Linked DNA regions of Lepisosteus oculatus. The protein of the gene in region 1 purifies or fractionates together with the protein of each later gene. This does not show direct contact. Links are inferred from orthologs where the notes say so. Each region holds a gene or a part of one and is shown in the gene's direction. Other genes may lie near its edges.

Region 1 (7,496 bases):
ACCCCTCAGACCCCTCCAGACCCCTCCAGACCCCCCCAGACCCCTCAGACCCCTCAGACCCCTCCAGACCCCTCCAGACCCCCTCAGACCCCTCCAGACCCCTCAGACCCCTCAGACCCCCCCCAGACCCCTCCAGACCCCCCCAAACTCCTCCAGACTCCACCAGACCCCTCAGACCCCTCCAGACCCCCTCAGACCCCTCCAGACCCCTCAGACCCCTCCAGACTCCACCAGACCCCTCAGACCCCCCCAGACCCCTCAGACCCCTCCAGACCCCTCCAGACTCCACCAGACCCCTCAGACCCCCTCAGACCCCCTCAGACCCCCTCAGACCCCCTCAGACCCCTCCAGACCCCTCCAGACCCCCTCAGACCCCTCAGACCCCTGTGCTCCTGCTGATCAGGGGCAGGACTTCTTCTCCCTGCTGCCTGTCGCCCTGACGCCCAGGTGCTGTCTGTGTTCCAGATGTGAGCCCCGGAGGCGGTGATGCCCGGCGACAGGGCTGCTGCTGCGGGACGGCCGTCCTGGGGCCCCTCCTGGAGCAACACCAGAGAAACAAGCCCCCTGCTTCTACAGCCAGGGAGGGGACTGACACCACAACACACAACACACACAACACACACTCGCACACTTCAGACCAGCTAAGGACTGGAAAGACACATTTGAATGATGTCAATGAACAGAACAAACAAAAAATACGCTTCTTTTTTTCCTAAGGAAATGAATCTATATGTATGTATATCTATCTATAAATGTGTCCATCATCATCAGTGTCTTTGTACTGCAGTGTCTCTGATTGGCCTTCATCTGGCCCTCGAGGAGACTGTAGCTGCCCAGCCTCATGCCTGCGCGCCTGCGCTGAGGGCAGGGCTGTCCAATCCCCCCTGACAGGCAGCGGTGCCCCCAAAACGAGTGGGGGCAGCTCAGGCAGCGCTCGGCATGCTGCTTCCTTAACGTGCCTTCTGATGACCCTCCGTCTCGGAGACGGGCTCCACAATGCCCAGGCTCCGCCCGGCTCGGACCTGCGGACTGCAGAAGTACAGCTCACGTGACGCCAGCACATGTAAATACACTCAGTAAAGAAGGCAGAGAAGTCCTTATTATCATGAAATATGCACTGAAACGTTTATTTATGTGAAAATAAAATATGGACATATTTATTTCTTATTTGTTTTATTTTAATCTATGTTGGGCTTATCGTGTTTTATCTATCAGTCTGGGTCACCCTGTACCCCTACAGTCTGGAGATCAGTGGTCCAGTCTGGGTCACACTGTACCCCTACAGTCCAGAGATCACTGGTCCACTCTGGGTCACACTGTATCCCTACAGTCCGGTCTGGGTCACACTGCACCCCTGCAGTCCAGAGATCACTGGTCCAGTCTGGGTCACACTGTACCCCTACAGTCCAGTCTGGGTCACCCTGTACCCCTACAGTCCAGAGATCACCAGTCCAGTCTGGGTCACACTGTATCCCTACAGTCCAGTCTGGGTCACACTGCACCCCTGCAGTCCAGAGATCACTGGTCCAGTCTGGGTCACACTGTACCCCTACAGTCCAGTCTGGGTCACCCTGTACCCCTACAGTCCAGAGATCGCCGGTCCAGTCTGGGTCACACTGTACCCCACCAGTCCAGTCTGGGTCACACTGCACCCCTGCAGTCCAGAGATCACTGGTCCAGTCTGGGTCACACTGTACCCCTGCAGTCCAGAGATCACTGTCCAGTCTGGGTCACACTGTACCCCTACAGTCCAGAGATCACTGTCCAGTCTGGGTCACACTGTACCCCTACAGTCCAGTCTGGGTCACACTGTACCCCTACAGTCCAGAGATCACTGTCCAGTCTGGGTCACACTGCACCCCTGCAGTCCAGAGATTGCCGGTCCAGTGTCAGAGTCACCTTGATCTCGGAGACAGGGAGAGAAGAAACTGTTCTGTCACACTAGGACTGAGTGCAATATGTGTATCTTAATACTATTAGAATTGTCTACATTTGTCTTATTATTTGTTCTTGTTTCCCAATGCTGGGGGCGCCGGTGCTCCCCAGAGTGATTTCATGAACAGAGCGGAATGAGCTCTTCATTTATGGAAAATTGTTGTGCAACTGTGACGATGCCAACCAGGCCGAAGGGAAAGTTGGGGATGAGAAGTGGGATTTCTCCAGAGCAGCTCTGGTTCCCTGTGCTGGCTCGGTCTCTCCCAGCAGCGCACACACACACACACACACACACACACACACACACACACACACACACACACACACACACACGACACCCCTGCCCACCTGGAGCGGATCAGACTGCTGCGCACTGGGAGTCTGACTGACAGCACTGTCACACCTGGAGCGGATCAGACTGCTGCGCACTGGGAGTCTGACTGACAGCACTGTCACACCTGGAGCGGATCAGACTGCTGCACACTGGGAGTCTGACAGCACTGTCACACCTGGAGCGGATCAGACTGCTGGTTTTTGCCATGTAATCGGTCAGACTCCTGACTCCAGACCCCTGCGGTGACAGTTCAGACTTGCCCCAGCCTGTATCTGCCTGTTGCTGTGCCTCCTGTCCAGCTGTGAGTTCCCACGCGTCTCTCTGTGCTGTGTGTGTAGTAAAGCTCTCAATATTGATGAAAGTATATATATATATTCTGCTAAAGATAGTACTACAACAATGTTAACAATATATGTCACATATAAGCTATTAAAGGAAATCTTATTTTTTAAATGAGGTGTTTCCGAGTGGTCTTTCAACTTTATCCCGTTTATTTTGGCTTGTTTCTGGATTAATTTCTTCTATTTGCATATTGATCCATTTTTTAAATGTTAGAATATCTAACAAGACTGGACCTGAACCACCGGACCGGCTGTCCTCCCGGTCTGACACCTGAGCCCTGCAGCAGACAGCAGACAGCAGACAGCAGACAGCTGTGTGTTTGTCATAATCAGAAACCTCAGCACTTCCTGCACTAATGAAAGAAAAACAGTGCGTTGGGGGGGCTGGACGGTGGGGGGAGCCTGATTGCCGCTGGGAGACAATAATATTTACAGACTCGCTGTCCTGGGAGCCGAGAGTCCTGACGAGGGGAGAGGCAGCCAGGAGTTACAGTCTGGTCCGCAGCAGCAGGGGGAGACAGGGCAGAGGGCAGGGCCAGGTCTCTCTCACTCCCTCCCCTGCGGTTTTCAGCCAGTGTCAGACACGGGGGTCCGGCGGTCGTGTTGTGTTTTAATTTAACATGAACTTGGAGCAGGGAGGTGAAAGGTCAAGGGTCATGTGCTCCCCTCCTGCTCCTGCTGCAGGGCAATAAGCGCCCCTTGAGGACACAGCTGGGTGTCTCCCGGGACAGGAGACACTGACTCCTCGTGGGGACACGCCCCTCGTCCACGAGCTGCTGGAGGTGATGAGGAAGCTGAGAGTCCGTAACTGCAGGCGCGGGTCTGTCTGCACTGCCCCCTGCTGCTCGCCGCCAGCACTGCGCTGTCCGAGGAGCCTGGCCACAGGGACAGAGGGGACTCCAGTCTGCAGGGGCGATCTGCACAACAGGTGTGGTGTGTGTGTCAGTGTGGTGTGTGATAAAGGGACAGGGAGAGAGACAGATGGAGGGACAGGGAGACAGACAGATGAAGGGACAGGGAGAGAGACCGGATGGCTCTTGTCTGACCTCCCTGATCCTCTGAGCAGCCTCTTCTAATGCAGTCCGACAGCGCCATCTAGTGGATTCTTTCGGAGCAGGTCTGTTCACACCTTTCGAGAAACTACACGTTGGTTGTCTGTGTGGTGTTTGTGTGTTTGTGTGTGTGCCTTCACCGGTGAGTCTGAGGGTCCTGTCTCCCCAGCCAGTGTCTCTCTGCACATCAGCGCTTACTGACACCATCTCATTGCACAAACGACAAACTGGACTGGACCGACCCTTCGCCTTCCTCCTACTGCACTCGGCCTTCTCGTCCAGGGGCTCCGCAGGCAGGGAAAGGCCACAACACATTCTACACAACACGAGCTCCTTAACAAACACGGATACTGTATATAAATAGAGCACACATCCAGCCAGCTGTCCACTCTGAGCAGGCCAGGAGCTGGGGGAATGGACGGCGACTCAGTCCTACTGCTCCTGAGTCTTGGAAGGAGATGGAAGAGCTCGGATCACCGTGCGACGGGTGATCATGGCAGTCAGGGATCATACTGTGTGATCGAGCGTGATGTCCGGCAGTTGTAGCTGTTGTGCACCAGTCATTGTGCTGGCTACCTGCACCCTCTCGCTCAGTCCGTTTTTATTACGAGCATCAAGGTTAACCAAACCAGTCTCCACACTCAATCCACGAAAGTGAATGGTCTAATTCTGCTCTAAGAGAGAAACAGGAACCGTGACGCCGCACCTGTCCTGGCCGCGCCCCCCGGCGCGATGACGTCAGGCCGGGAGGAGGGGCACGCCCGCTGGTAGACGTGGCGCTGTGACGTCAGCGGCCGGGGAGTGACCCGGATTGAAACGCAGCGGCGGAGGGAGACGGAGCGGCGCGGCGGCGGAACCGGAGAGAGACGCGGACATACCGGTGAGGAGAGAGAGGAGGCCTGTGGCGAACCGCCGGTGCGCACCTCCCCAGCTGGGGGCACGGGTGCCGGGGGAGGTCGGGTTTCCCCGACACCCGTTCCTTTGTGTTTTTAAAATGTCGAGTTATTTATCCGGGAAGGGTAGATGGGGCTTTTAACAGTCTGAAAGTGACCCGCAGTTGCTCTGTCCGTCACTGTCGGCGGTTCGGGGGGGCTGGAGTTTTCTCGGTTATAATGCGCGACCTGTTTCAGTGCAGATTGGAGTGTGTGGTGTGGGGTTTTATTTTAATAGTAGCCTTAAAGACCGCTTGAAGCTGCTGTCGGAGACATCTGAAGTTGTTGTTGACGTCTCAGGCGGCCAATGAGGGCCCCCGGGTAGTTTGATTGACGCGAGTCGCTGCCAACCGCCGCTCGCTGAGGTTACAGCTGGTCGGCGGGGAGTGGCAGCGGGGACAGCCAATAGGGGTCCCGGCGTGATTGCGAGGGGGTAGTGGCCCGTTCGCTGAACCAATAGCGTAGAGCGTTGTCCACAGGGGGCGGTGATGAGCGTGTTGGTGGGCCAATCCGCCGTGGGAAGAGGCGGGGCGCTGGTTGTGCTGACTGAGTCTATCCTCTCATTTCAACAGAAACCGAAAATTTTGGAGTCGGTCCTGAGACAAGATAACAACCCCCCAGCTCGGTGAAATCTAAATCTTAACGCTTATCGAGCCGATAACACAGAAAGGTCAATTGTGATTCTTTGTACACTTTATTCTCTTAAACCTTTTTATTTAAAAATGCTTATTTTATTTATTTCAGCAAAACAGCTGTTCAGCAACTGGTTCATACAGTCCAGTAGGACAGTCTGGTACACTGGGGCTCCAGTCCAGTAGGACAGTCTGGTACACTGGGGCTCCAGTCCAGTAGGACAGTCTGTTACACTGGGGGCTCCAGTCCAGTAGGACAGTCTGTTACACTGGGGGCTCCAGTCCAGTAGGACAGTCCTGTTACACTGGGGGCTCCAGTCCAGTAGGACAGTCCTGTTACACTGGGGGCTCCAGTCCAGTAGGACAGTCCTGTTACACTGGGGGCTCCAGTCCAGTAGGACAGTCCTGTTACACTGGGGGCTCCAGTCCAGTAGGACAGTCCTGTTACACTGGGGGCTCCAGTCCAGTAGGACAGTCTGTTACACTGGGGGCTCCAGTCCAGTAGGACAGTCCGTTACACTGGGGGCTCCAGTCCAGTAGGACAGTCCTGTTACACTGGGGGCTCCAGTCCCGGTCCAGTAGAACAGAGTTCTAGTTATAGTGGGAGGGCTTGTGTCTGTCCAGGTGTCCTTCAGTCTTGTTGGGGACTGTTCCTGTGTTGCTGCAGCAGGGTTGAGGTAGAGGCTGCTGGCGCCAGCCTCCTCCCAGCGCAGAGGGGACCGGTCCCGCTGTCCGGCGCGGGGTGTGGGGCCTGTCCAGTCCTGTCCAGTCCACTGACCCCCGGTTGTCCTCCTGTCCGGCAGGTGATGCTTCGGAGCCTCAATGTATACGAGACGCCGTCACGGTTCTAGAAGCACAGAGCAGGGCGTGTATCTCGGACCCTCCCAGACGCAAGCGCAGGACTGCCCCCCCCCTGCCGGGCCCCCCCCCCTCCCCGTCGCCACCGACAACGCCATGTCCGGCCGGGACCGCACCCAGGAGTTCCTCTCCGCCTGCAAGTCGCTGCAGGGCAGACAGGTACTGGGGAGAGGAGAGGGAGGTGGGGGAGACAGGAGAGAAGAGGAGGAGGGAGGCGGGGGAGGGAGAGGAAGGGCTGAAGATGTGAGGGTTGAGGGGGAGGATGGAGGAGGGAGAGAGGGCAATAGGAGAGGTATAGAGGGTTGATCAGTGGGGTGAGGGAGAGGAGGAGGAGGAGGAGGAGGAGGAGGAAGAGGAGGCTCATTCTGTGTCTCTGCTCTGCCAGAATGGAGTCCAGGTCCACAAGCCGGCTCTCAGCGCGGTCAAGCAACGCAGCGACTTCACCATCATGGCCAAGTGAGTCCCCTGCTCTCCAGCTCGCTGACCGCCGCCTTTCACGCGTCTCCACCTTGTCACGCGGATCTCGGCCATCCGGACACTGTAAACCCAGGCGTCAGTGACAGGCTGGACACGCGGGGCTGACCGCTGACCGCTGACCTCTGCTCCCTGTTCTTTGTCTCTCGCCCACAGGAGGATTGGGAAGGACTTGAGCAACACTTTTGCCAAACTGGAGAAACTGACGATACGTAAGCACACTTTCCCCGCTGTGCTGTGGTGGGTGAGCTTGCGAGGGCGGTGGTGCGTGCCGGTCATGTGACGCGTCTCTGGGGTTTTGCAGTTGCCAAGAGGAAGTCGCTGTTCGATGACAAGGCCGTGGAGATCGAGGAGCTCACCTACATCATCAAGCAGGCAAGTGGCTGAGCAGATGTATTACTTACTGAGCTCGGAGCTGACTGGGTCGGGGGATACCGTGTCTGGAATGGGCTCGGAGCTGACTGGGTCGGGGGAGACGGTGTCTGGAATGGGCTCGGATCTGACTGGGTCGGGGGATACGGTGTCTGGAATGGGCTCGGAGCTGACTGGGCCGGGGGAGACCGTGTCTGGAATGGGCTCGGAGCTGACTGGGCCGGGGGAGACCGTGTCTGGAATGGGCTCGGAGCTGACTGGGCCGGGGGAGACCGTGTCTGGAATGGGCTCGGAGCTGACTGGGTCGGGGGAGACCGTGTCTGGAATGGGCTCGGAGCTGACTGGGCCGGGGGATACGGTGTCTGGAATGGGCTCGGAGCTGACTGGGTCGGGGGAGACGGTGTCTGGAATGGGCTCGGAGCTGACTGGGCCGGGGGATACCGTGTCTGGAATGGGCTCGGAGCTGACTGGGCCGGGGGATACCGTGTCTGGAATGGGCTCGGAGCTGACTGTCATGGTCTCTGTTTCCTTGTGCAGGACATCAACAGCCTGAACAAGCAGATTGC
Region 2 (7,027 bases), on another chromosome or scaffold:
TTATTTAGTCGGCAACGTTAAATTGGTTATTATTCACAAATAACTACAGCAATAAAATTTGCTGATGACATGATCATAATCTGATAACCTGTTCTCACCCAGCAAAGGTACAATGCTGCTGAACAACCCAAGAAGTTGGTTTATGATTAAAATCACATTTTGAGGATCAACAAAGTTTAAAGCGGGAAACAAACATATATAAATGTACTCTTAAGCAGTTATGAGGAAACACTCTAAGTGAAGGTAATTGAAGTTAATTAAGAAATATACTAAGTGAAGGTAATTACGTTTTGGGCTGTTTTACAAAATAGGAACTTCGGAAGGTGACGTCAGGGATTTATATACCCTCTCATTGGGCGTATCAGTTAATCGCCGTTATCAGGCTAAATATTTTGAAATAACAAGCAATTCAAGGGGAAGACTGATTTAATCTTACCTTCTCCATAATATGAGGATCCATCGTACTTCCCCCACCGGTCATGAGTGCTACTGTCCAGGGGCTCGCTTGCGTCTAGTCGGGCGACCACTCCGGGTGAACAATGAGGCTGGGTGCCGTTGACAGATGGATACCTTCCCCGAAAATAACTACACCAAAAGGCTCATAATTAAAGCTGTTTTTGTAAGGAGGGATATGGACATGGAGTTTAATCAGAGCTCCAATTTCCGTTTGTCACGATAGTCTATTATTACATTTCCCCCAGTTTTTTTTAGAAAATGTTGATTACCTGTTTATCCCTGCTTCCGAAAACTACCCTTCCTCCTTAGTCTATCTGCCAAGATGGGCAAATTCACCTTGCATTTTGTATAAGGCTTCGCTGAGTTGGAAGTGATACAGTACAACAGCGGGAATATCCATGTGTTTATTCATGTTCACCAACCCTAAGTACTTTCACCAATTTGTACCCTTCCAAGCTTCTCAGAAAAGTGAGCCTTTCTTTAAGGATTAGTTTTAGTGTCCATGTTCAAAGCACTTCTGTTCTTTTATACTGTATGTGGTGCGTAAGCATCTTAGTGTTTTGTAAAGCAAAAAGTTTCCTACAGTATTAGAACTGCGCTCTACAACACCTTGAAAGCGCAAGTTTAAATTCAAGACCCCAGTGTCTTAAATACGGGACGGGAAGTTGTCGTCTGAGTAAAAGTCATCCTTTCCGTTGCCTCTCAAAGATCATTTTAATCGCATTCCATACTCGTGCCAGTCGAGACATTGGGCTTCATCGTGGTAGCAGAATATTTCAAAAAGTTTTTTTAAAAAATTTTAATTTAACCAAGACAACTTGGCATCTCTCTCCAGAGTGCAAAAACACCAACAATTCAACTCCAACTCGACATCGTTTATTTTCACCCTAAGATTTTCAAGGAAATATTAAAAAAAATCAAATTGAACTAAGATGTATTATTAAAAATCTAAACGAAAAGAAAGCGAGCATTGATCATTTTAGTCCCGTGATAGTTGCGCGCTTTAAACACGGGTGATCAATTTAACAATTCTTAGAATCCTTTCACGTGGCATATTACTCTATCTTTAAGTTCTTCTTGTTTAAATTAGCAATATATTTCCACCCTAATTTTATAAGTCCCAAGAGGGACGTACTTGCATTGATTTGATTTTAATTGGTCAGAAAGCGCGCAGACAGGACACGGTTATCCATCATCCCTCCCGTTTCCCCGGTTCTTCATTCTGTTTCCCTGGCAATCGAGAAATAAAAAACGACCCTATTGGTCTCTACTAAAAGCACTCGCACTGCCATTGCTGCCACAACCACCAGGTGCTTTACAGAGCAGTCATCCTTCCCGTTGCCTTGGCGACAACATTCTGAATCCGTTGCCCTGGAAATCTCTCCATATATGCTCACCTCTGGTATGGAAAACACTTATCAATGAAGCGAGTGGACAGTAGGAAATTGTTAAATGGGGCAAAATTACTTAGGAAAACATTGGCTTAGCTGCAAAGTCCTCAATTGCGTGGCTCCCACTCAAGCTTGACTGTTCATCAGTAAAGGACACGGAGCGATCAATACAGCGAAAGGCTGAGATCATTTCGCTCCGGCAATTTTGGGCATCGCAAAAGCTGGCAGAGGTATTAGGCTCTGGGATTGGGTGGGAGAAGTGAGAGGAGGAACTGCAGCTTTGTCAAAAAGTTGATTTCTACACGGCCAGACCCTGAATACTCGTCATCAGCGGAGCAATTCGGAGATAAGATCAAAAATCCAGCAGCCATATCACCCTGCAACTCACAACTGGCAACCCACTGAAGCTAAGCAGGTGTGAGCCTGGTCAGTACCTGGATGGGAGACCTCCTGGGAAAAACTAAGGTTTCTGCTGGAAGAGGTGTTAGTGGGGCCAGCAGGGGGCACTCACCCTGCGGTCCATGTGGGTGCTAATGCCCCGGTATAGTGACGGGGACACTATACTGTAAACAGGCGCCGTCCTTCGGATGAGACGTAAAACCGAGGTCCTGACTCTCTGTGGTCATTAAAAATCCCAGGGCGCTTTTCGAAAAGAGTAGGGGTGTAACCCCGGTGTCCTGGCCAAATTTCCCCCCTGGCCTTTACCCCATCATGGCCTCCTAATAATCCCCCTCTATGAATTGGCTACATTACTCTGCTCTCCTCCCCACTGATAGCTGATGTGTGGTGAGCGTTCTGGCGCACTATGGCTGCCGTCGCATCATCCAGGTGGATGCTGCACATTGGTGGTGGTGGAGGGGAGACCCCATTACCTGTAAAGCGCTTTGAGTGGAGTGTCCAGAAAAGCGCTATATAAGTGTAAGCAATTATTATTATTATTATTATTATTAAAAACAACTCTAAGATCCTCCCGCTTCTACATAAAAACCCTGCTGCTTATATCACGTGTTTTCCCCATATTCTACAGAGGATGAACAAGGAAACCTAATTTAGGATAATACATAACATAAGCCTATTAAAATTCACTAAACACATTCTCAATTCTAAAAGTCACAAGCAGATTTTCTGACATATTAATCTATTGACTAAAAATGAATCGGAACGTGTATGAACGAACCTATTGATAAACAACAACCTTTGGTCACACTAGGACACCGACATTATGGTAAAATCTGCTAAAGCTGTTGACATCAAACTATGATCAGAAAACGTGATTGAGTTATTAACGTACTGCAGTCTTTCGAGTTTGATCAAATCAAACAAGTACATTTTCAGATAGACTTAGTAAATAAAAAAATATTCTGCAAATCTTTAAAAACGTTGTGCATGTTTGAACTATCTGGGAAATATTCTCGATTTTCACAAATGTTGCAATGTTTCCTGTTATCCCTGGTGAGCCGAATTAAGAAGTGTCACAAATCTTTACGATTCTTTACGATACAGCGCCATCTAGTGACATAGCACTCGGTATTTGCTTGCACTGGAAAAATAAGCCATTCTGTTTTATTATTTTGTTTTAAGAAAGGGAAAGCTCAAATATGAAAGGACAACAGGCGTGTTACAAAGCTTTCTCAATAAAGAGGGTTAATTGTCAATATTCAATTTTTCCAAACGAGTCCAATTATAATTTCAGAATTATTTCACATCATAATACATTCCGATATTCTACAACGAGTTTAATTCGGAATTGCTTGTATGACTTTATTTTAAGTCGAAATTTATAATGGATGGACAGGCGCAACAAAGCGAATACTTTATTTGTAAAACTCCCTATAAAATCCAGTGTTTTGCAACATTCAAAACGAAAATACGATTCCCAAGGCCAGTTCTCGTTGAAGTAAAATCATTTCTTTCAGATGTACATATTAGGTATTATAAGAAGAAATTACTTTTGTAAAAGCAAAGCATAACGTTCATTTTCGAAGGGTCCTGAAAATTGATGCGTCTTCCCTGAGGTGCAGACCCACTTAACTCTAGGCACGGATCATGAGAGGCTCGTGTTGCACGCCGGGGGTGTTTGAAGGTAGGACCTAATTCCGCCGGAGTTGAGTGACGTGGTTCGGGGGAAGAAAGAGAAAGGGAGTTTCTTTCGGTGTTGTCTGGATCTCAGTCTCCTTTCGGAGGGTAGCTTTACAGTTCGGATTCGTCATTACGTTCAGTGCTATTTTTCTTTTTCCTCCATACCTTCAGTAGAGGAATCGACACATTTCTGCCTTGACGTGGCTGTTGGAGCTATAATACGAGTGGTCTCTAATCGTCTGAAGAGAAGCAACAGAGTAATTGGTAAGAGGAACTAAACTAATCCTTCCCCAAAACAGTAGTGTTAATAGGGAGAAACAGATGCCCGAGATTAAATCGGAGACAATAAGATGATTAAATAGTGGCAGTATTAAGTATTCCCTATGAATATATACTTATATCGCCGCTTGATCAAGACCAACTGAGTGTGTTCAGTAGTAAGTCGATGCCGTTAATAAGTATTGTTGAGAGTAAATCTAAAACACGAGACTCTGGTAACACGGAAATAACAGCCCCATTTCATATCCTTGAACTTTTGCCATTTAACGTAATGTAATGATAATTTAAATTGGACGTTATTGGTCAGGAAAATGTTGGGAGACGTAATCGTTTTATTTGTGAGAAAGTCCGTGGCTATTTTGTCTTTTGCATTTGCCGTTTAATACCACAAGGACAGCTGGTGCAAAGAGCAAATACCTGCAGCATCTCATACGCTTGTTTTAAGTCAGGAAAGGTGACGTTTCGTGAGCAGCCTGGAAGCGTAACAGTCCGACTGCGACATCACCGGTAAAACAATAATTGTAAAAAAAATTGATTACATCTTTCAGTGAAAAGCAGTGATGAATACCACTCTCAATACAACACAACACCGTAGTTCACGGTAAATAAGTGGTCAGTATCAGTGCATTCGGATTAAGAAGTTCGCTTTTCTGAAAGGACTTTCCCAATCAGCTCATGGCGTGCCTTGCAGCAAAGAAAAAAACTTCCCATGAAATTGACATTGATATTTCACTGGTGTGGCCGACAAGCAGCACCTCTTTAGTGTCATTGCAACTTTGTTTTACTATGATTGTTTACAATATATTTAAAAAGAATGTACATCTATGGGAGTATTGTGACTCTTTTATGTTTGGTCTTCTTGGCTGAAATAGACTGTTGCTCTCCAGATGAAGGAAACGTAGTCTTTCTGGTGGTGGTGGGGATTACTGGTCAGTGAGGGAAGACGTGCTGCTCTGTACTGGTTTGCTGTGTCTCGGTGTGTTTCAGAGCTTCTGGGACGCCCAGGTGATTCCAAGTGTGAGTCATAATGAAGCTTTACAGCCTGAGTGTCCTCTATAAAGGGGCAACCAAAGCCAACCTGCTCAAAGGTGCCTATGATTTATCCTCCTTCAGCTTCTTCCAGAGGTCCAGGTAAGTTCGTGCCTTTTCCCAGCGGCGTTTTGCTGTAGTGATTGAATGAAAAAATTGGCAGTCCAGTTACTGTGAATATGTCCTTCCAAACCATGTGACCTCTGTCTCACTCATGTTGTCAGTGTAAACTGACAGAGAGTCACAGGCCAAGATATAATGTGAGTTTCTCTTCTGGAGCCAGGTTCTTGTAATTCCTGGTTCAGGGAAATCGACGGTTTCACTTGAAGGGTCTAAAGCAATTGGACCCTTCCAATTAAAATAATTTTAAATGAGTTCAAGCCCAATAGTTTTGCAATTTTATCTTAAGCAATCAATTTTATTGGTGAATTTAAAAAGGCCACATGCAAAAATCCTATCTTGAGAATTAGTCTAGGAAGAATGTGATTCTGGGAGAACATATGAAATCAGTTTTTTTGTATGCTTATGTAATGGGTAGGACATTCCTACATATTGTTTGTAACTGCACAGTTTAGCATTGAACAGGAAATAAGGCAGAAAAAAAACATAATATCCATTCAGAATGTAATGCAAGATTAATCACATTCTTTATTTGTGTTGTAGCAGCAAAAGATTTGTGTACAGCAAATGTGGACCAGCGGGTATGGTTTGAAATTTCTGACACTGTAGGGCATTGAATAAAAAAAAACCCTTAAGGGGTTAAGGTTTTGCACTTAATCCAACTCATTGCTTGGTTTCTATGGAAACGAAGCTGAGTGAGAATCCCACAGCTTCAGCTTCAACAGCTGTTTCACACATCACACATTAGCAGACACGTGTTGTCACTCAACAAAAACAGTCATACACTCGAGCAGTCTGCGATTTCTATATGTAAAAAATATCTAAGAAAGGCATGAGTTCATTTTCATACTGAACAACCTAGAGATAATTATGTGTCTGTGTGTATGTTAATCCTGGCTTGGTTTGATGCGTAAAATACTCAACAGTCTGAAATCTTAATTTCATAGTTGTTCTGTTGTGATTTAGCATCTACGTTTCAGCTAGCAAACACTTTCTCAATTTCTTAAGCAATAACAAGTTACAAACTACTGACTGAAGAGAAAAATAATTTTTAGTTTTATTTTCATGAAACGGAGCTAAACTTGAATGTGACTGATTCTTGAAAGGGATTTGGTGGGTGAGAAGAACCAAGCTAATAGTGTTGTAGATTATGTGGGAACAACATAAGGGTACTGACAGTCAGCAGAAGCCTAAATTAGTCAGCACGAAGTAAACAAAATAAGTTTCCTTCTTTCCTTCTGATTTTGCTTCATATTTCGTTTTCTGATTTATTATTTGGTGTTTAGAATTTGATTTTGCAATAGTTTATTTTATGGCTATAGTTTAACAGCAATTCTCAAAGATGACCTTTGCAAAGCAAAGATTGTGGGATTAATGACTTGAACTACTGATAAAACAGTACACAACCACAGATTTGCAAATGTATCTTAAACAATCACATTTATTGGAAAGTTTAAAAAGGCCACATGCAGAAGTGCTATCTTGAGAATTACTCTAGGAAGAATGTGGTTTTGGGAGAACATATCAAATCATTTTTTTGTATACCTATGCAATGGGTAACACATTTCTAAGAATTGTTTGTAATTGTTATAACCAAGTTATTTCAAGTGTTATACTGAAACTGTCCTTGACTTACAAATGGCTTAAGGAAGTTTGTTTTATTTTAAATGGCT
Region 3 (7,053 bases), on another chromosome or scaffold:
AGTAGAAGAAAACGCGCACAAGAGAAGGTTTAAGGCAATCTCAACAGTGAGCGAGGAGTGAACGGAGGAAGCGGGGAGTGAAGTGCTAATTGCTAATAGCGGCACAGGTGTGTGCGCCGGGAGGGGCACGCGGGAGTAAGATTCGTGACAGTAGGGACAGAGGCCAGGCGCTCCGAGCCCCGGACTCAGACGGTCAGGAGGCCGTGATGAAGCCTGTGCCGTCGGGTCTCTCCTGGACCCGCTGGTAGGCGGGCTTCTGGGCATCCATCTCCCAGTGCTGAGCCAGGAATAGCAAGAGCACCAGGCTGAAATAGTAGGACAAAGCAAGAGGCAGGTGCTCATAATCAACTAAAATACAAAAGGGTCGGAGTGTCCTTTAAGAGGAGGGATGCTGTTCGTGACAGAACATGTATGTACTGTAAATCTGCAATGGAGGCAAAACTTAACATTCCTCAGGAAACAGTGGGCAAATCAGGTACTTGGAAATATGGTAACTATTTTGGTAACACATAAACGGAGATGACTATAAGGATAATACACTCCATTTTCTGTGCTCATGATGCCTGGTTCCCAGAAAGTCTTCCAGTTTCTAAGAATAATGAAGTGGATTGACCTTATGTTTCATTGACTTTTCTGTAACTACCCTATGGGAACATCAGCTATGTAAATAAAAACCCTCAGAAACTCCTGGAAAAAGGACCTGCACTGTGTATGTATGTATGGATGCTTGTACAGTATGTTTGATTAATATCTGATTAATTAAAATGTGTGATCCTTGAGACCTACAGTAGATAGTGTGTCAAAAATGAATGACTGCTAATCCTACAGAATCATGATGCAGATAAAAAATGGTTAAGAAGGTATAAGGGGAAATAGCATAAACATTTTATTCAAACGTCTCTCAATGGTATTAACAGCATGCTTTCTTCTTTGCCTTCAAAGCACTTTTATCATTAGCACACACTCCTCTATAGGAAGACCACCAATGGAGAAGACAGGCAGCTACATGTATCAGACCCTAAAGACAATGATTAATCACAGCAAGACACTGCTCTTTCCCCATCTCTTATAATAGGTCTGAATAATTATAATAGGCTTGAGTAATTGCTTTGTTGCTGTTGTTTTTACATCTTATCCAAGGTGGATCCTCTGCTGTTACCATTTTGCTGTACCTTAAATATCATAAAGGACATTTTGCAAGTTAATATTTTGCAGCATTAAGTTGCTTTTAGCACATACTGTCTGTCATAACAGGCAAATACTAAGTACAGTGATGTGCTGCTAAAGCAGAGTCTAATGTGTTTTTTGATGTGAAATACACTGAAAGGCTTTTTCGCTTTGGTAATTGGTGAAAAGCAATGAACTTTTCATGCACACATGACTCACCTATGATAATATCGAAATAGCTCTCCGGAATAAAGAAAACTTCCACACCAAAGAGCAGGAAAATATTTCTAAACACTTACAGTATGTAACAGTTGTAATGATATTTTCTTTTCCATTATCATTATTCCTCACTTTTGTCAGCTCTGGTGTTCAATTGTTTCTTTAGAAGAAGAAAAGTCTGTTGGCTTAGATCAAGCATCGAAGAATTCAAACAAAAGAGAACATTTTCAAGGACTATTTCAAGCATTAAAAAAATGTTTTCATTCTCATTGAAAAGACCTTAACACGAATATCACTAAGGGCTCTAAAGAAACTCTATGATTGTACGCCAAGATTGGTGTGATAAAAATGACCAGATGATTAAATGTTTAAAGTTGATTAATAATACAATATTAACATATATATGGCGCATTAGCTCAAACAAATGTGCATTTATGGTTATATATTTAGATATAAATATAAAGTAATGTTTTTGAACTCTTTTCTGCTGGTGCTCATTCCAGCTGAACTCTACATTTCCAGTGCTAATGTCACAAGATGTTGGCCGTTGAAGCAGTAACAGGTTGTGATGAATCGCGTTGTGTTGATGGCCAGGATTGTGTCAATGTGACAGTGGAGCAGGGAACAATTAGTAACAATGGTCATACCCAAGTCATCCAGGAAGCAATTAGGTACTGACGCATGGAGGTGTGAGGCTGAGCCAGTTCGTCAGACCTTGGGCAGGGGAGTGGAGCAGGAAAGCACACAAAGAAATGAGAAGTGCCCATGACACCTAGGACTTCCCGTTCTCAAACGACCTGAGCTTCCTCCTGATAATGTTCTGGGTGCACCCGCCACTGACAGAGACAATAGGAAAACCACTTGGGGGGATGGCTTATGGGAGGGATAAAAAGATCTGAGCCTCAACAGAGGAGTCTCTTCTCCAGGGTAGCCCCTCGACACGAGACAGGCAGTGCAAGGAAACCCGCAACCTGCGAGTCCACAGAGGAGATTCTCCCTGGAGTTGCAGATCATGGGAGAAGGATGCAGAGGAACGGAGGTACTGCACAGAGACATCTAATACTTGGAGGAAAGAAGCAAAGAAACCGGCCTGGTGAGTCGATACTGACCCAAGGGGAGAGTAGTGCACTCTAAAGGAGGACTCCCGATATAGTCCAAACGGAGACCGGGGAAATTGGACTGTGCGGCATCACTTTTCTATACATTGCTGTCCTTCTCTGTAACACCAAGACTTTCCAACGCCCTCTCCTCATCACCTGCAAGGACAGCTGACCCCCAGGAATTCATTAGGACTCTTGAAAGAACCTGTCCTTGCTGATAGTTAATGTTACTGTACATAATTTATTAAAAAGGGTACTTATACGATACTAATGCTTATCGCTGGTCTGTGTGTGCATTGGTGATTCTGGGAGATAATCAGAACGTGTGGTAATGTAGAGGGTTTTTTGGAGAAATCATTGAGAAGCTGTTATTTGACTTCATGACACCCATGATTAACTTATTCAACTTTCACAGACGGGTCTTATATTTAATATACTGTATAAACATAAGTTCTCACCACATACATACTATATAAACTATAAATACTATATAACAAAGGTATTAAGTACAAAACAAAAAGTCTTGCAGGTAACCCTAACTCTGTCAGTATAGACCTGACATCTACAGTTACTTTGTTCTTGAATGGTGTGAAAATAAAAGATAAAAATGCAATTTTAAAAACCACATAAGGAATTTGTTTAAACTCTGCTTCATTTCTATCTGTATATCCTTCTAGAATTTAATATTTGTAAATACTAACTGAAAATTATTTTGGACAACTCCTGACAGATACTGCCTTACAAAAAACATTTACAACTGTTCATAGGCTTTAAAATGTTAAACTAAGACTTTCTAGATTCAGACTTTTCAACAAGATTCAACAAGATGATTTGTGTATTTTAAGCCTGGGGAAAAAAAAAACTCGGACACATGTGTTACTTGTTTTGGACAGACTTGCAGAACTTTAATAATACGCATTAAAAAGGCAGACTTAAAAAGTTTCATATAAACTTTACGCTTTGAGCCATGTAATATGGAAGAATAGTTATAATTTGACATAATATTCACAAATAAAAAAATTGGATGAAAATGTTTCATTTGTTGAGTTCTATTTTTTAATTCTCTCTAGCAGTATACTGTTTTGTGATTTTTTTTTATTGTTCACTTAGCTTTTCGGATACTTTTTATTCCTTAGATGTATCATTTGATGTACAATATTAAAAAGGCAGTTGAAGCATGAGCCTCTTCCGCTTGCATTGCGTTTGCTTCAGCACTTTCAGGTTGCAGTGAGACTTTGCTATGCATTCTGGGCGATGTAGTCTTTTTTTTTGCTACTCAACTTGTCTAAGTAATTTAAAGAACTCAGTAATAGCCAAATAAATAATCATGCCTCCTGTTGAATTTGAATCATATGCCTGAATGTACCGGACATGATGTTGTGAGAGTGGTCACAGACAAGCGCAGGGAGAGCCGGTGTGAATTATTCTTTAGTCAACCGCATGCACTCCATTACCCACAAACCAAGATGTTCTGCCGTGTTCCGGGTTGTTGTTGTCGTGAAGTTTCATTTTTTTTTTCGATAGCTGCTGTTCATACACGTTGGCAAAGCAGAAATCGGTTTCGGGAATTGTAACTTCGGTAAATTATTGTTACCGAGAAAATAAGTGTTGGCAACAAACGTTGTCTGAAAGGAGTCTAAGGGATCAAAATGAGGCGAGCGGGTTTGGGTAAGAGGAGCTGTATCCACTCTTGTTTCTGAAAATGGTTTACTGAATTGTACCATGAACTCGAAATAAAATTTAAGGGGACTCGTTGGTTATTAAAATTTATAAACGATATATTGATTATTTCTAAAGTAAATAGAGGATTTTATTATACAGGGTGAAAAGGTTTGTCCATTACTAAATGTATTAATTAATTTAAGACGCAGTCTGAACAATAATTCCTGAAATCCCCGTAGTTTGAACTCTTCATACCCTGCGCCCTAAACGAGTGAAATGTCTCGAAATCCGAGCTGTTATTTCCCATGAATGGGAGACGGTTCAATCAATTTTACAAGTATATCACAGTCTTAGGATGTTTTTTTTTATCATTTCTCACTAGGGAAACAGCTCATTAAATACAGTCGAGATTGAAAGTTGATTTAAAACGTATTCGTTGATTTAAAACAAGAATCTCGATGTACATCAGTTTTTTTTCTGTAGAACCTGGTTTTATACTCTATATGACTAGACTGTTTAGACAAATTGTTTTCAAGTTCTAATACCTGTCATTTTGCTTGATAATTCATTCATCAATTACATGGGTACTATGGTTAGTTGCAATATTTTAAAGTGAAGTTAGACAAGTGAAGTTAGTGCAAAAGTTGGACCTTCTTAGTTTAACACTTCATCGAGCAAACGTCATTGTTGATAAGATCGGATATACATTGTATATACAAGAACAGTTAAATGTTATTGAATCAGGGCTGGGGTGATCCCAAGAATGTTATTTTTTTATAACATTTATTTTTTTTTAGAAATTTAGAATCACCAGTTTTATGTGTTAGTCCCACCCAGTTTAGAACAGCAAAGTTATGGTTTTTCACAAGTTGTTTCATAACTCCTCCTTCCAGTCAGTCATTTCTTGACACATCACAGACAACCCCACTCTGTGCCACAGGTTCAGTGCTGGTTGGTGGAGAGGCCCATCCTTCACCCTCAGCACTGCAAGCTTGCAAACACTCCAGAAGACTACAGGGGGCGCTGTGTCACTGACTACACCCACTCTACCCTCGCCCATTTCCAGTGCCGCTGACTGGGGAAATTTGTGTCACAGTCAGCTGCTGACATGGCCCATGCTTGAACCCATGATCACAGAGCTCTACCTGCAAGGAACTTGACCATTTCAGCCTTTTGGATTAAAGGATTTGCAAGCCTGTTTCATTTAATATCACTTTATTGGCCATATACAATTTCTTGCATTAGGAATGATCTTTTCGCATGCCACAGCTTGCTCTCCATGAGACACACAGACAGGGAGAGAGAAGCTGGGGGTCAGAGCGCAGGGTCTGCCATTGTATGGCACCCCTGGAGCAGTTGGGGTTAAGGGTCTTGCTCAGGGGCCCAACAGAGTAGGATTCCTCTGCCGGCTGCGGGATTTGAACTGGCAACCTTCCAACCGCAGGCACAGATCCTGAGCCACAGAGACACTGCTCCGCCCACTCATTTAAAGAGTAGTCTGGGGCTCATCATCCCTGGTCAAAGATAAGGAAGGATTGGTGATGGTGACCTGTCAGATTTTACTGGGCACACCCTTAGTTGGCTTTCTAAGCCACATGGTTTAATCATTTTCTTTTTTAACCTGTTTGCAAGTCTGTGAAGATCAATTTATTTTGCCAAAAAAAGAGTGTAGTTTTTAAGTATTGTATTAATCATATACTGCAGACATGTTTTCCTTGTCGCCGTCCTTTCATTTATGTAAAATAATGGGAATTTCCCTTTATGGCCACAGTAATTGTAATTAAACAGTTAGTGAAAGCAAGTACTTCGAAATGGAGATGTAGGGAACAATACAGCCGACATGATTGTATAAACCTGTACTGTATATCTAATGTTGTGGAAAATTCAAAGTTTAATTGTATTGCTCACAACATTGTAATGAACCAGTCATGATATTTTTATTTTATCTTTGGATGTTATCACCTTCTTTTAACAGGTGATGGAGCACCCACAGGAAATTATGTAGCAAGTGGATACAGTGTTCATGAAGAAGAAAATGAAAATTTATCCGAAGGTTTAAGAGCTAAAGTCAGTGCTTTAAAACATGTAAGTACAGTTCACTGACCTTCCAGTTTTGGAAAGTGGAGGTGTCCTTGTTTATTTTGGGGGGCTGCAATGATGGATCAATTCTGACCTTCAAAGGTTCAGAACACATTGCTGAATAAAGCTTTTGATAGTTGTATTTCATATGATTTACTAATGATGTCAAATTGTGTAAGTTTATCTTTTGGAAAATCCTTGTTTTATATGTAATCCATACAAATGTAACATCCCTGTGCATTTTAAAGAGAACAGTTCATTGCTATAAAAAAGGGTTCTGTTTCTGTACATATATTTGAAAAATATACTTGTTTTGTATACAACTATATATATTTTTTCACCTAAAAGCACAGAAATTGTGTAATTCATTTGTCGTAAGTATGTGTCCATTAGGTTTTTATGTACTGACAACTACTACTGATAAAACAGGGCTGCTTTGTTGTAATGCAGTTGTTGGAGTCTGTTTTGTATTCGACATTATATAGTTTTTTGGCATCCTTACTTTTGAAGTGATTTACAGTGGCCATAAGCTAAACAAGCCCCTTTTCTATAACAGAAGCCACTATTTCACTATTTAAAGTTTATACCACTCTTTCATACAAACAATTGTATTCGAAGGCCACAAACAATTATTATTATCATCATCTTCAGGAGCCCAATTCTGAGTCAGTTTTACCAAGAAAATGTCTCCGTTTTTCTTTGTCTGTTAGCTATCCTAGCAAAATAGGTGCTGCACTGTGTAATTTTTGAAACAGCACCCTTGATTCAGCAGGCTGAGTGAATAAGGGTTTCAGAGATTTGTGTGGCGTGTTAGAGTCAAAAAACA

What was found. The genes of interacting proteins can lie anywhere in the genome.
Region 2: the proteins of stx5a (region 1) and ykt6 purify together in Homo sapiens (affinity purification with mass spectrometry; 3 studies listed by BioGRID and IntAct, with this or other methods). This does not show direct contact. The link is inferred for Lepisosteus oculatus from reciprocal best matches to the Homo sapiens genes STX5 and YKT6.
Region 3: the proteins of stx5a (region 1) and bet1 purify together in Homo sapiens (affinity purification with mass spectrometry; 3 studies listed by BioGRID and IntAct, with this or other methods). This does not show direct contact. The link is inferred for Lepisosteus oculatus from reciprocal best matches to the Homo sapiens genes STX5 and BET1.

Annotation. Positions count from the first base shown.
Region 1 is NC_090713.1:23,128,031-23,135,526, reverse strand, and holds the start of stx5a (syntaxin-5a), read left to right. Parts: upstream 1-4,454; 5' UTR 4,455-4,542; exon of another isoform or gene 4,543-4,577; intron 4,578-5,166; 5' UTR 5,167-5,264; intron 5,265-6,029; 5' UTR 6,030-6,048; coding exon 6,049-6,243; intron 6,244-6,469; coding exon 6,470-6,540; intron 6,541-6,714; coding exon 6,715-6,770; intron 6,771-6,862; coding exon 6,863-6,933; intron 6,934-7,467; coding exon 7,468-7,496. Other genes in the region: vegfba (vascular endothelial growth factor A), read left to right, coding at 466-487. UniProt on the Homo sapiens protein: Mediates endoplasmic reticulum to Golgi transport.
Region 2 is NC_090697.1:70,414,289-70,421,315, reverse strand, and holds the start of ykt6 (synaptobrevin homolog YKT6), read left to right. Parts: upstream 1-3,948; 5' UTR 3,949-4,190; intron 4,191-5,192; 5' UTR 5,193-5,232; coding exon 5,233-5,336; intron 5,337-7,027. UniProt on the Homo sapiens protein: Vesicular soluble NSF attachment protein receptor (v-SNARE) mediating vesicle docking and fusion to a specific acceptor cellular compartment. Functions in endoplasmic reticulum to Golgi transport; as part of a SNARE complex composed of GOSR1, GOSR2 and STX5.
Region 3 is NC_090705.1:4,535,730-4,542,782, forward strand, and holds the start of bet1 (BET1 homolog), read left to right. Parts: upstream 1-3,974; 5' UTR 3,975-4,135; coding exon 4,136-4,154; intron 4,155-6,123; coding exon 6,124-6,233; intron 6,234-7,053. UniProt on the Homo sapiens protein: Required for vesicular transport from the ER to the Golgi complex. Functions as a SNARE involved in the docking process of ER-derived vesicles with the cis-Golgi membrane.